2 linked regions of the Rattus norvegicus genome follow. The protein of the gene in region 1 interacts with the protein of each later gene in a pairwise test. Links are inferred from orthologs where the notes say so. Each region holds a gene or a part of one and is shown on either strand. Other genes may lie near its edges.

Region 1 (5,512 bases):
ATGTTGGGAATGAAGGTATATGCCACCATGCCCAGCTACAATTTATTTTTATTTATGTGTATGCCTGTGTGTTTGTGTGCATGGTGTGTACAGAGGCAGGAGGCATCAGTTCCCCCCAAATCTGGAGGTATAGGCGGTTGTGAGGCACTGAAGGTAGGTGCTGGGATGGGAACTCTGGTCCTTTGTACAAGCAGTGGGTGTTCTTAGCTGCTGAGCTGCTCTCCTTCCCCGCAGATTTTACATTTTTGTATTTGCTGTGTATACACCTGCCAGTCCACATCGACACATGGTGTGTCAAAGAACAGAAAGACTCGCAGGAATCGGTCCTCTCAGTCTCCTTGCAGGTTCTAATGACAGAGCCCAAGTGGTCAGGCATAATAGCAAATGCCCTGACCCTTGTGCCCGCCCATCAGCCCCCAGAGGCAGTTTTCATGAGTGGGGAAGGCTTTAGGGAACCTTCAGCTAACACACAGGTACTCCCTATAAACAGTCCACAGTGAACAAGCCAGTCCCACAACAAATATTTGGCTTAAAATAGCAACACTGAGCAATACTACCCTAGGTTCAGCCCCTCCTGAGTTCCTCTGAGAACCTCACTCAAAAACTTGTAGTATGTCTTACGTAATTATGGCCCTTCTAGGTCAGTTAAGGCTCAACTGCCCAAGAGTGTCCCAAAAGTCAAGTGAGGGCTGACGAGATAGTTCAGTAGGTAGGGAGGGGCACTTTCCAAGTCTACTGACCACCTGCACTCAATCCCCAGGATCCACATAAGTGATCCCCCACTTTCTCTACACGCACGCACGCACAAACACTCACTCACTCACTCACACACATACACACACACAGAGTGAGTGTGACTGGACAAATGGATTAGAAAGTAAAAGCACTTGCTGTTCTGGTCCCTGCATCTGGATCCAACAGCTCACAACCACTCAAAGTCCAGTTCCAAGGGATCCAGTGCCCTTTCTGGTCTCCATGGGCACCTAGTTCACGTGCACACACACAGACACATAAAATAAATCTTTAAACAAAAACTTTTTTTAAGTGAAGGCGTCATACTCTTGAATAGATGAAATGAACATATTTTGGAGCAGAAACTACACTCTGTCAAGACACAATAAAGAACCTGGGGTTAGGAAGATCTAAGTTCCATCCCTAGCCCTGCATAAGCCAGGGCATGAGGACACTTGGCGGTTGAGGCCTGCCTGGGCTACATGGGGACCTGGTCTAAAAGTAGTAACTACAAAAAATAAACAAATTAAAGACCTCATGAGAGAGAATATTTCCCACTAAAATAAATTTAAAGCCTCAGGAATATGTAAGCACATCAAACTCACATATATCGGACCATAAATAGAGCCTATCTTTTTGTTTGTTTTGAGACAGTGGCTTCCTACATAGCCTTGACTATCCGGAACTGAACTTGCTTGAACTTGCTATCTATATATCAGGTTGGCCCCAAACTCACAAACATCCACTTGCCTCTGCCCCTGAATGCTGGGATTAAAGGCATGTGACACCACACCCAGATTAGAACCTGTCATTAGGTAAATGATTTTAAATAGTTGACTTGGATGGACAAGAAGTCCATTGGTAATTTGGGGAGAATTCACATACACTTTGCTAATGTTACATGGAATTCAAACTTGAGCTTTCCTACAACCTCAGCTGCCCAGAGGGGAAACAGCCCATGCACACCAGCTTAGAGACTTGGACCCCCAGAACACAATCCCTTCTTCTCATTTGAATGGAAGAAAGGTAACATCATCAGTTTTCTATTTAAAAAAAGTATTTTGTGGTAGAGTGCTTGCCTAGCAAGCGCAAGGCCCTGGGTTTGGTCCCCAGCTCCGAAAAAAAGAAAAAAAAAGTATTTTTTTCTTTCTGAAGGGCATTTTTTTCTTTAAAATTCATATTCTACTTTAATTACTTTATTGGAGAGGCTTGTGGAATTGATTCTCTTCTACCCAGGATACAATTCAGGTGGTCAGAGGCCAGATCAACCTGGACTTCATCATCCTTCTGCCTCGGCTTCTAGGATGCTGAACTGCAGGTATGAACTACGAAACCAAACTTGTCTTTATTGCCAGAGCAATAAAAATAGTGTTGGTTTTAAACGTTCCACGTTGGTTAAATAAAAACTCTCCATGACAGTCCGGGCAGTTGTATGAATATTAATCATGTCCATGTAAAATTCAAGCCAGTCAGAACAACACAGTGTGTGTGTGTGTTGAGGAGCATATCTTTGATGATCAGAATTGTAAAAGGGGGCCAGAGTTATTCCAGAAGTGGATGGAGACTGAGGACGCTGCTCACCGTCCCTGAGGCTGGCCATCCCCAATCCTCCTCATATCCAAGCTCCGCAGACTAGTATAATGTACCCAGAAGGTCTGTCTCGTCAGTAGTGCTCAGCTGGAGAAATCTTAGTCCTCATCCCTTCCAGTTCCTCAATCATTCAACCAACACTGGGGGTACAATTCATTGTCAAGCAGTGGGGACTGGGCACCCCACATCTAGGGAAGCCTGCCGCATGCTACAAAGACTAATACATACCAGACTGGTCCATATCACACTCACAAAGGACCCCTTTCAGGATCCAGAAAGGGTTCCTGGCTATGCTTAACCACCCAAACCGACCTTCCTTGGTTAGCCCTGCCCCGCACAGTGTCGGCTACCCTGATGTCCAGAGCTCAGTGACCATTAGCCTCAATTTCTCCGCCCATTGCAAAGGTCCGAGTTGCTCTGGTACTCACAAACGCACTTAACAACTAATTTTCCTTCTCCTTGCCCTCAGTTTCCCCACCTGCTGCTACAAGATCCAATTGATTTCAAGAGGACATATGCATTCAGAACCCATCAAAGCCGCCCCCGGGGCCTCAGTTTCCCCATTTGCTCCAAGTCCTAGCTATTGAGGCGACACAAGATCCCTTTGGGAGCTTGCAAAGCTGACTCTTCCCCCTCCCTGGGGCCTCAGTTTCCTCTATAAGAGTTCTCCCTTCTCCCGGTCTCCGTCCCGAGGCCACCCGGACGTGGCCCGCTCCTTCAAGCTGCGGCTGGGCCGCAGCTTCACCCACCGGCGGCTCTCCGCGTCGCGGCCTCCGGCTCCTCCAGCATCCCGGCGGCGGCGGCTCAGGCTTCAGTCAGACGGCCCAGCTGCACACTCCGCCTCCCGACGGTGTCGCTTCTGCTGCCGCCGCGGCCGCCGCGCTCGTATTTGGCGGGAACCGCGGCAATCACCGCGGCCCGCGCGCCCATTGGATGAGATTGCATCACGTGACAGTTAAGCCTCAGGAAAAGAGGAACACTCAGCACGTCCTCGCGAGAACTTCGGCTTCTGTGTCTGAAAATCCCGCGGGAGGCGGATGGAGAAGGGCTCCTTTCCGGCGGTTCAGGAGTGGCCGAGAAGATCCGCATTTCCTATTGGTTCTAAGAAATGTCAATCTAAAAATCAGCGTTTGGCCACACCCACACCCCTTTTATTGGCTATATGCGTTCAAGGAGGTGGGACGGCTATGTCTAGAATGGAAGTGACAACTTGAATGAGGGATTAGAAGAGTAATGGGAGCTAAGGTATCCTAATTAGTGAAGGGTTAAAAGTAGCTACTGTAATTAAAGTTGAGGATCACTTCCTTTAATCTTACATTAATTCCCTTTTTAACTATAGACTTTTAAATATAAGTTACTTTTTTGAAATGATGAACCACTTTTTAATAAATTAACGATTTGCTTTATTTTTTTAAAGATTTTATTTATTTATTATATATAAGTACACACTGTAGCTGTCTTCAGATACACCAGAAGAGGGCATCGGATCTCTTTACAGATGGTTGTGAGCCACCATGTGGTTGCTGGGAATTGAACTCATAACCTCTGGAAGAGCAGTCGGGTGCTCTTAACCGCTGAGCCATCTCTCCAGCCCCTGCTTTATTTTTAAATTAGGAATATTTTCTATTGTAAAATTATAAGTGTTTTGAACTGTAAATTCCTTTCATGTGAATTACTTTGAAGAAATATTAATTGAAAAATTATTGATTCTGGTGCTTTTAATCCTAGTACTTGGGATTTACAAGCAGGTAGATCTCTGAGTTCAAGGACATCCTGGTCTACATAGCAAGTTGCAAGACAGTCAGTGATACAATGTATCAAAAAGTAATTGGCTTTGTTTTTGTTGTTGTTATTGTTGTTTTTCATTTGTTTTGTTTTTTGTTTGTTTGTTTTATTTTGTTTTGTTTGAGACAGAATCTCACTATGTAGCCTTGCTGGCCTGGAACACAATCACCAGTTTCTAAAACTTTTGTAAGGTGAGGAAGAAACCTTTCCCTTCTTCACCTGCAAACAGCTCAGGTGCCTGCAACAGTTCTTTTCTTAAAGTTGTGGCTAGTAAGTGGGTTATTTGGCTAATGAATTAGTTATATGAATTGCTTTGGGCCAGGGGCTCAAGAAAGGTAAGGAATGCTCTAGTGTCAAGGACCTCATCAAATCCTTGACCTGCTGCAGAATATAATTTGACTGAATTGTGTAGGTCTCCTGGAGCCAATCTTGCTGTCAAGCACCTGTCAGCCCTGTATTTGGGAGGTGAAGGCAGAAAGATTAGACGTTAAAGGCCATGATAAGCTAAGTACCAAGTTTGAAGCCAGCCTTGGCCATCTCACAACATATGTAATAAAGAACACCCTTGAATGAGTCTTGTGAGCATGCTAGAAATCCCTGGCTATAGCCACCAGTACTGTTTTTGAAAGGAGACATGGTGTCCCAGGCCTGTTACTGCAGCACTAAGAGAGGTAAGGCCAGCTTCTGCTACATGAGACCCTGTCTCAAAAAACCAAAAAACCAAATGAAACAGAAACTACTCATACCCCAAACTATAAAAACTCCTGTATTCAGGAACAGTAAAGATGGCATATACATATTTTTGATCTACTGCAGTGCAATCCTTTGAGTCATTTGGAACCTTCTAGAAATCTTTGGATTCATGAAATCACCCCAACTTTTCACCAATTTCAACCTTAACCATTCTTCTGTTTATGCTTTAAAATCTATTTACTCATTACCTCCGTTTATTATCAATAATAATTAAGTCATGCTAGCCTGGTCTGTAACTGGTTATATAATCCAGACTGGCCGTGAACTCACAGAGATCCATGTGCTCTGCTTCTCAACGTGCTGGGGTTAAAGTTGTGTGCACTGCCATATATGGTATAGTCTATATACTTTTTGAAATCTGTAACAGTTGCTAGAAGGGTTAAGGTCCATATGTCAATCTGAGGAGGCTTCATTGAAGAGATATTGACTTAGTTAGGGTTTTACTGCTGTGAACAGACACCATGACCAAGGCAACTCTTTTTTTTTCTGGAGCTGGGGACTGAACCCAGGGCCTTGCGCTTGCTAGGCAAGCGCTCTACCACTGAGCTAAATCCCCAACTCTTAGAAGAACAACATTTAATTGGGGCTGGCTTACAGGTTCAGAGGTTCAGTCCATTATCATCAAGGTAGGAGCATGGCAGCATCCAGGTAG
Region 2 (5,571 bases), on another chromosome or scaffold:
TGCTGGCCTGAGCTCTCGTTTCATCTCGCTTACAATAAAGCTTCCTCGTGTGGTTACAGCAAGTCGGTGTCTGTGTCCTACTGGGTGCGCGTCTTTCCCGAGACTTGAGTGGGAGGATCCCTTCGGGGGTCTTTCACTACTTTCCTAGATATTTATCACCAGTTTTCATCTAAGTGCATCCAGAGTTCTTAACAGGTAACTCAGACCACCCTTACCCTGTAGGGCCAAAGAGACTCACTGGCCACCATATTGCTACAAAATCGGTGAGGGTAGGATTTACTACCAGCAGAGAAAGGTATCTTTGGGTCTTTCTCAGAGAAGAATGATGCTTCTACGTCAACCAGTTGGTTACGGTAAAAAGACAAGATCTGACAACTCCAGAAAGATCTCCAAAAAAAAAAAAAAAAAAAGTAAGAAATGACTCAGTGTCTCTGGCCAGTGGATCATCGACTGTCTAGTATGGAACTGCATACTACCCTTCTTAACCCTCCTCCTCCTAAGGCCTTCTAGTTGCACCTTCCTTTATAAACTTCTTGTCTAGGTTTCTTCAACAATAAATCCAAAAGATTTCTAACCAGACTCTGTAAACAGTGTCTATTACAGGATTTACCTTACCTATGGGGCCAGGAGACTCTCAATTATATACCCTGATGGTGAAGGTTAAGTTCTTCTCCCCAAGGATTTTGATGCCCCCATTCAGCAGGTAGTCAAATGATAACATTGCCCTTTCTGGGCCCCTGATTGTTTATCAATAGTAAACAAAAGTTGTGTGTGTGTGTGTGTGTGTGTGTGTGTGTGTGTTACACACAATGGGGCTGAAGGTAGAAAACACCTTTTGACTGCCAGAGTTGTCAGTAGAAACAAGAGGGTGGGCTCCGCTATTCTCATTCTTCTCCTTACAAGGACAGGAATGGCTGGATCAACAGACTTAGGAGCTTTATGTTAGCCCTAAGGAACCAAAACTTGTGACTTCTGAGTTCCTACGGGCAAAATAGTACCATTTAGCCCAACATGAATATGAATCAGTGATTTGATCCACATGATTCAGAACCAGTGGAGAATGTAGTGTGGCCCAAATCAAGACACTTTCCTCAGGTGTGCTTTACTTTACCTCAGGGCTTCAGTCTATCAGCAGAACCTGGAAACAACTCCAGGGAATCCTCAAAGTCTCTTTATCCATGTCCCCAAAATGTGTAATTACTGTGCAGTGATTAACTGCTAGCTCTGACTTCTTTAAACATGCTTATGGTTGTATGCAAGGTGGAAGAAAAGCATTTTCTCACATAGCTACAAATTCCTCATAAATGAACCAATTGTGGTTTTGCCTTTAAAACTCCCCCTTCCCTTTTAGCCTGGGTTTCAGTCTCTTATCTAGATCTGGTGGGTGCAGTTAGCTGGCCAGCTTAATAAAATTCAGCTAATTGGATTTCATCGAGTGATCTTTCCCAGTCGTCTGGAACTCTCCAACTCTGTAACACACATAACACAGCAGTGCCGAGGAGCAGGTGTGTGAAGCACGCAAAACGGAGTCGTCTTAAAGCAAAATAAATTACCTTGGTCAGTTCACCATTCTCTCCTATTGGGCCTCTGAGGAATGGCAATCTCTCCCTTGGCGCCCTCATTATATTTGCTTGCATACCACGCCTCCTCCTTGTTTCCCAAGAAGGGACCCTGGCCAGGGTGCTGTGATCCTATTCACGAAGTGGGTACCAGTCCTGAAGAAGGTAATCACAGGAACAAAGGAGCTGTGTCTCCGGGAAAAGGAAGTGGACAGGCTTAACTTCGTTGCTGGTGGTTTTTGTGGAGACGTAAATTAAGAGTGGGCCGAGCCAGCGAGGCAATTCACGCCCCCTTGTGTCTGGAGCCACTTTGGAGACCAGCAGCAGGGAAGATTGCATTGACTGGGCACCATCCTCGGTGCGCAGGCGCACAGTCAAGAGAGACCCGGCGGGCTGCGGGTGTTGTCAGTGCGCAGGCGCTGCAGGTTCCCGACAAACCGCGCGCCCCTGAAACCGCAATACGCAGGCGCGGAGCCTCCCCATTGAGGGCACGCGTGACAAGGCTGCACACACAGGTGCTGGTCCTAGTCGGAGCCCCAAAGGCAAGCATTGGGTTTCCGGTTCCGGGACTAACCAACCGCCGCAGAGGCGACAACTACTGTTTTGGAAGAGGCTGCGGTGGAAGAGGAGGAAGAAGAAGAGTAGAACCGGCGGGTCGCGCAAGCGGGATCCTTCCCATGGGTCCACCGGCCTAGAGCCGAGGAAGCTGCGAGCCTGGTGTCAAGCTGGTGAGATAGCGGTGGGAGTGGCGAGAGCTCAGGAGGAGTCTGTGGAGGCGCCGAACGCTAGCGGGGAGACGCGAAGGGCCCTCACGTCAGGGGAAGGAATGGCTACTTCCGGATATTGAAAGAGAGGACTGGGGGGACTGGATAAGAAGACAGAAAAGGAAAAGATGTGGCTCAGGACATTGACAGTGATGTTGAGATTATAGGACCAGGATGGCCAGGAGAAGAAGAGAGAGAACGTTCAGAGAGTCATTGGGCCTTCGTGTTAACAGGATAGAAATGGGGTCCCAAAGCTGATAATGCAAGGATAGGGCCTCGAGACAGTAGAAATAGTAGGGTTAGAATAATGAGGGACGGACTGGAGACTCGTGGCGAACAAAAAGGAAGTAGAATGTCTGATGGTTGGGAGGCTATGGCGTTGTCCTGGAACACAGGCTAAGAAATAAGAGAGGCAGGTCACTGTGGAGGAACAAGGAAGTTTCACAAGATGATAAGAGAAATGGAGAATGATACGTACAGTTAAGAGAAAGAGTAGCTAACACTGGCCATAGGGGTGAGCAATAGAGTCATTTGAGACTGAGACTGGAGAGGAGTTATGGATCGGAATAAGTGAGGGAAAAATAAACTTTGGGGAGAGCTCTTGAACGTAAGGGGAACAGAACACATGAGAGGCTTCCAGCCTGAGAAATGGCAAGAATGTTTGATCCAGTGTATGGAGGAATCCAGGACTCAGACACAGAGATGCAGCTAGAGCACTGCAAGACATTGGAAATTCAGGTGAAGGAAAGTTTAAATGTGTGGTTAGAACACTGGTGTAGTATCCTGAGAAGGAAAGAATTGGGGGCCTCTTACCCAGAGTAGGAGGAACAAGTCTTCTCAGACTGAGGAGGGGTAATATGCATGTTTGGAGGAGAACAAAAAGGAGGGATGGGACTGTTAAGTCAAAGACTGGGAGTATTTCCTGCACCAAGGACATACTTGTGCTAATCTGGGGTTAAGTATTAAAGGAAACGTATGGCTTTTGTGGCCTGGAAATAATTGGCCACTTTTCCCCATACTTTACCTTCTTCCAATCTTGCAGGCTTCTGAAGCATCTATGGCTGAGGCCTGGCAGGACTGCCCAGCCCTGGGCCCTGGCTGGAAACGCCGAGAGGCCTTTCGAAAGTCAGGGGCCTCGTGTGGACGCTCAGACATCTATTATCGGAGGTAACGGGTGGGCTGTGGACAGCGTTCAGTGGAGTTGGACATCGTTAGTAATTAAAGGGGGTGGTGTGTTTAAATCTATGGATGTGGTTAAAGTTGTGCACATAGTCCTTGTTAAAAGTTTTGTGTTTTCTTAATCACCTATTCTTAATAAAGTTTATTTGATCAAAGTCGATACTCACAGTACATTTGTGATTATTCACAGACACACATGGGATAGCTAAAGAATTTGAATTGCCTAGTGCATGTATTTGGAATCAAAGTTGAATAAGAACTCTTATATATTCTCTCTCTCTCTCATTCTTTCTGGTTCTATAAACTGGTCCACCGTCTATTTAGAGCCATATTTTTGTTGTTGGCAAATTTGTTGTTTAAAATGATTCCCAAATCAATTGCTGAAGTATTTTCTAGTGCTCCGAGAGCAAGGATACTGCCTTTTCTCCTTGCCAGATAGGCTTCTTACACGCATGAATTGCAATGCTATCCGGTTGAGTTACAGCGTTCAAAATCAGAAATGGTCCATCCGGAAAGAGAAGAGGAAGCATGTTCAGATGTGTGTGAGGCTGTTCTGGAAAGAGCAGATACTGTTGTAGGGTATTTAATCACACTGTGAACCCTGGGATTAGTTGTATTTACTGGGGGGGGGGGGGAAACCTGGGGTTAGCTGTGGTGTGGCTGAACCTTAGGTCAAGAGGCAGAACAAGCAGCCAGTTGACAGGAAGTGAGCATAAGATTATTAAAGAATTATGGAGAGTAAGAGGTAGTCAGAAGGGTGGACAGAGGGATCCACAGTAGAAGGGAGGACATTCAGTTTGAGGAAGGGATTTTGCATGAGTAGGGACTGCTTGGGCTGTCAGCTGAGGAGGAAGGTCTGCTGGGTGCTCTCTCTGCCTCTCTGAGCTGTCATGCTCTCACCCCAGCATCTGGCTCCCAAGTCTTCTGTGGTAAAATCGAATGCCTGAGATTTTGTTTAAACACCACAAAATTAGGAACAACAGTAAACAGCAAAATTTGTGAAACGGTGAACCAATGGGCAGTAAAGCCTGGTGACCTGCATTGTTCTAAGGAAAGCCAAAGACTTGTCAGTGGGCACTAGAGAAACATAAACATCGGGGGTTGGGGATTTAGCTCAGTGGTAGAGCGCTTGCCTAGGAAGCGCAAGGCCCTGGGTTCGGTCCCCAGCTCCGAAAAAAAGAACCAAAAAAAAAAAAAAAAAAAAAAAAAAAAACCAGAGAAACATAAACATCTCAGCTGATGCTGGCTGGCTTGCATGTTTCAGAAGGTGATATGATGTAAAAACATGGTACTTATAGTACAGGTTCTGTACGGCAGGTATCTTTAGAAAAACAAAATATCAGCAGGCAAACCTAGATAAAACATCCTCTAAAGCCAGTGGCTCTTACTCTTTAACAGTCCTGGAGTCATTCGTAAGAAACAAATGTTACAGTGTTTTTAAGCAAAGACACATAAAACAGGACTATTGGTCAGTTGCTTGAAAATGTGTCAGGCTTGCTGGAACCAACCCCGTTTCTCCCGTAGGCAGAGTGTTCCTTGTTGTAAGAATTCAGGATTTGTAGCAACTAAATAATATATAATTATCATATATGATGAGAATTGACTCTAAACATGTCAACATTATAGTTTATAAGCATGGTATTACTGATGCAACTATTAAAAGTTTTACACTCTTCCTGTATATTTAAGTTGCCATTCCCTAGAAGAATGTAATAAAATTTCTTATTTTTTTTCACATGAGCTTGTATAAAAATTAAAAACCTTCTAAGTAATTGTGCATGTACATATGTACATGCATCAGGTTAGTAAATGAGTTTGTTACTTTTGTGGACGCAGGTAGGAAATGTGTTACTTCTGGGCCAGCAATAACAAAGTTTCTCACAGTAGGATCAGAATCCATAATGCCATGCTTTTGACATTTCTCTGAATCCCAATTCCCATAGGATGATATGAAGAGGGCTCAGTAGTCTCTGTGCTGTACTATGCCTAGGAAAGGCCCCCTGTCTGTTTGAACTTGTATAACCAAGTATCAGTTCAGTAAGTGCCTTTTCTAAAGTGACTTGTTTTTA

What was found. The genes of interacting proteins can lie anywhere in the genome.
Region 2: the proteins of Chaf1a (region 1) and Mbd1 interact in binary tests that used the Homo sapiens proteins (3 or more experiments, as listed by UniProt). The link is inferred for Rattus norvegicus from reciprocal best matches to the Homo sapiens genes CHAF1A and MBD1.

The regions. Positions count from the first base shown.
Region 1 is NC_086027.1:958,899-964,410, reverse strand, and holds the start of Chaf1a (chromatin assembly factor 1 subunit A), read right to left. Parts: upstream 3,187-5,512; 5' UTR 3,112-3,186; coding exon 3,072-3,111; intron 1-3,071. UniProt on the Homo sapiens protein: Acts as a component of the histone chaperone complex chromatin assembly factor 1 (CAF-1), which assembles histone octamers onto DNA during replication and repair.
Region 2 is NC_086036.1:70,143,098-70,148,668, forward strand, and holds the start of Mbd1 (methyl-CpG-binding domain protein 1), read left to right. Parts: upstream 1-2,154; 5' UTR 2,155-2,287; intron 2,288-3,365; 5' UTR 3,366-3,380; coding exon 3,381-3,490; intron 3,491-5,571. UniProt on the Homo sapiens protein: Transcriptional repressor that binds CpG islands in promoters where the DNA is methylated at position 5 of cytosine within CpG dinucleotides. Binding is abolished by the presence of 7-mG that is produced by DNA damage by methylmethanesulfonate (MMS).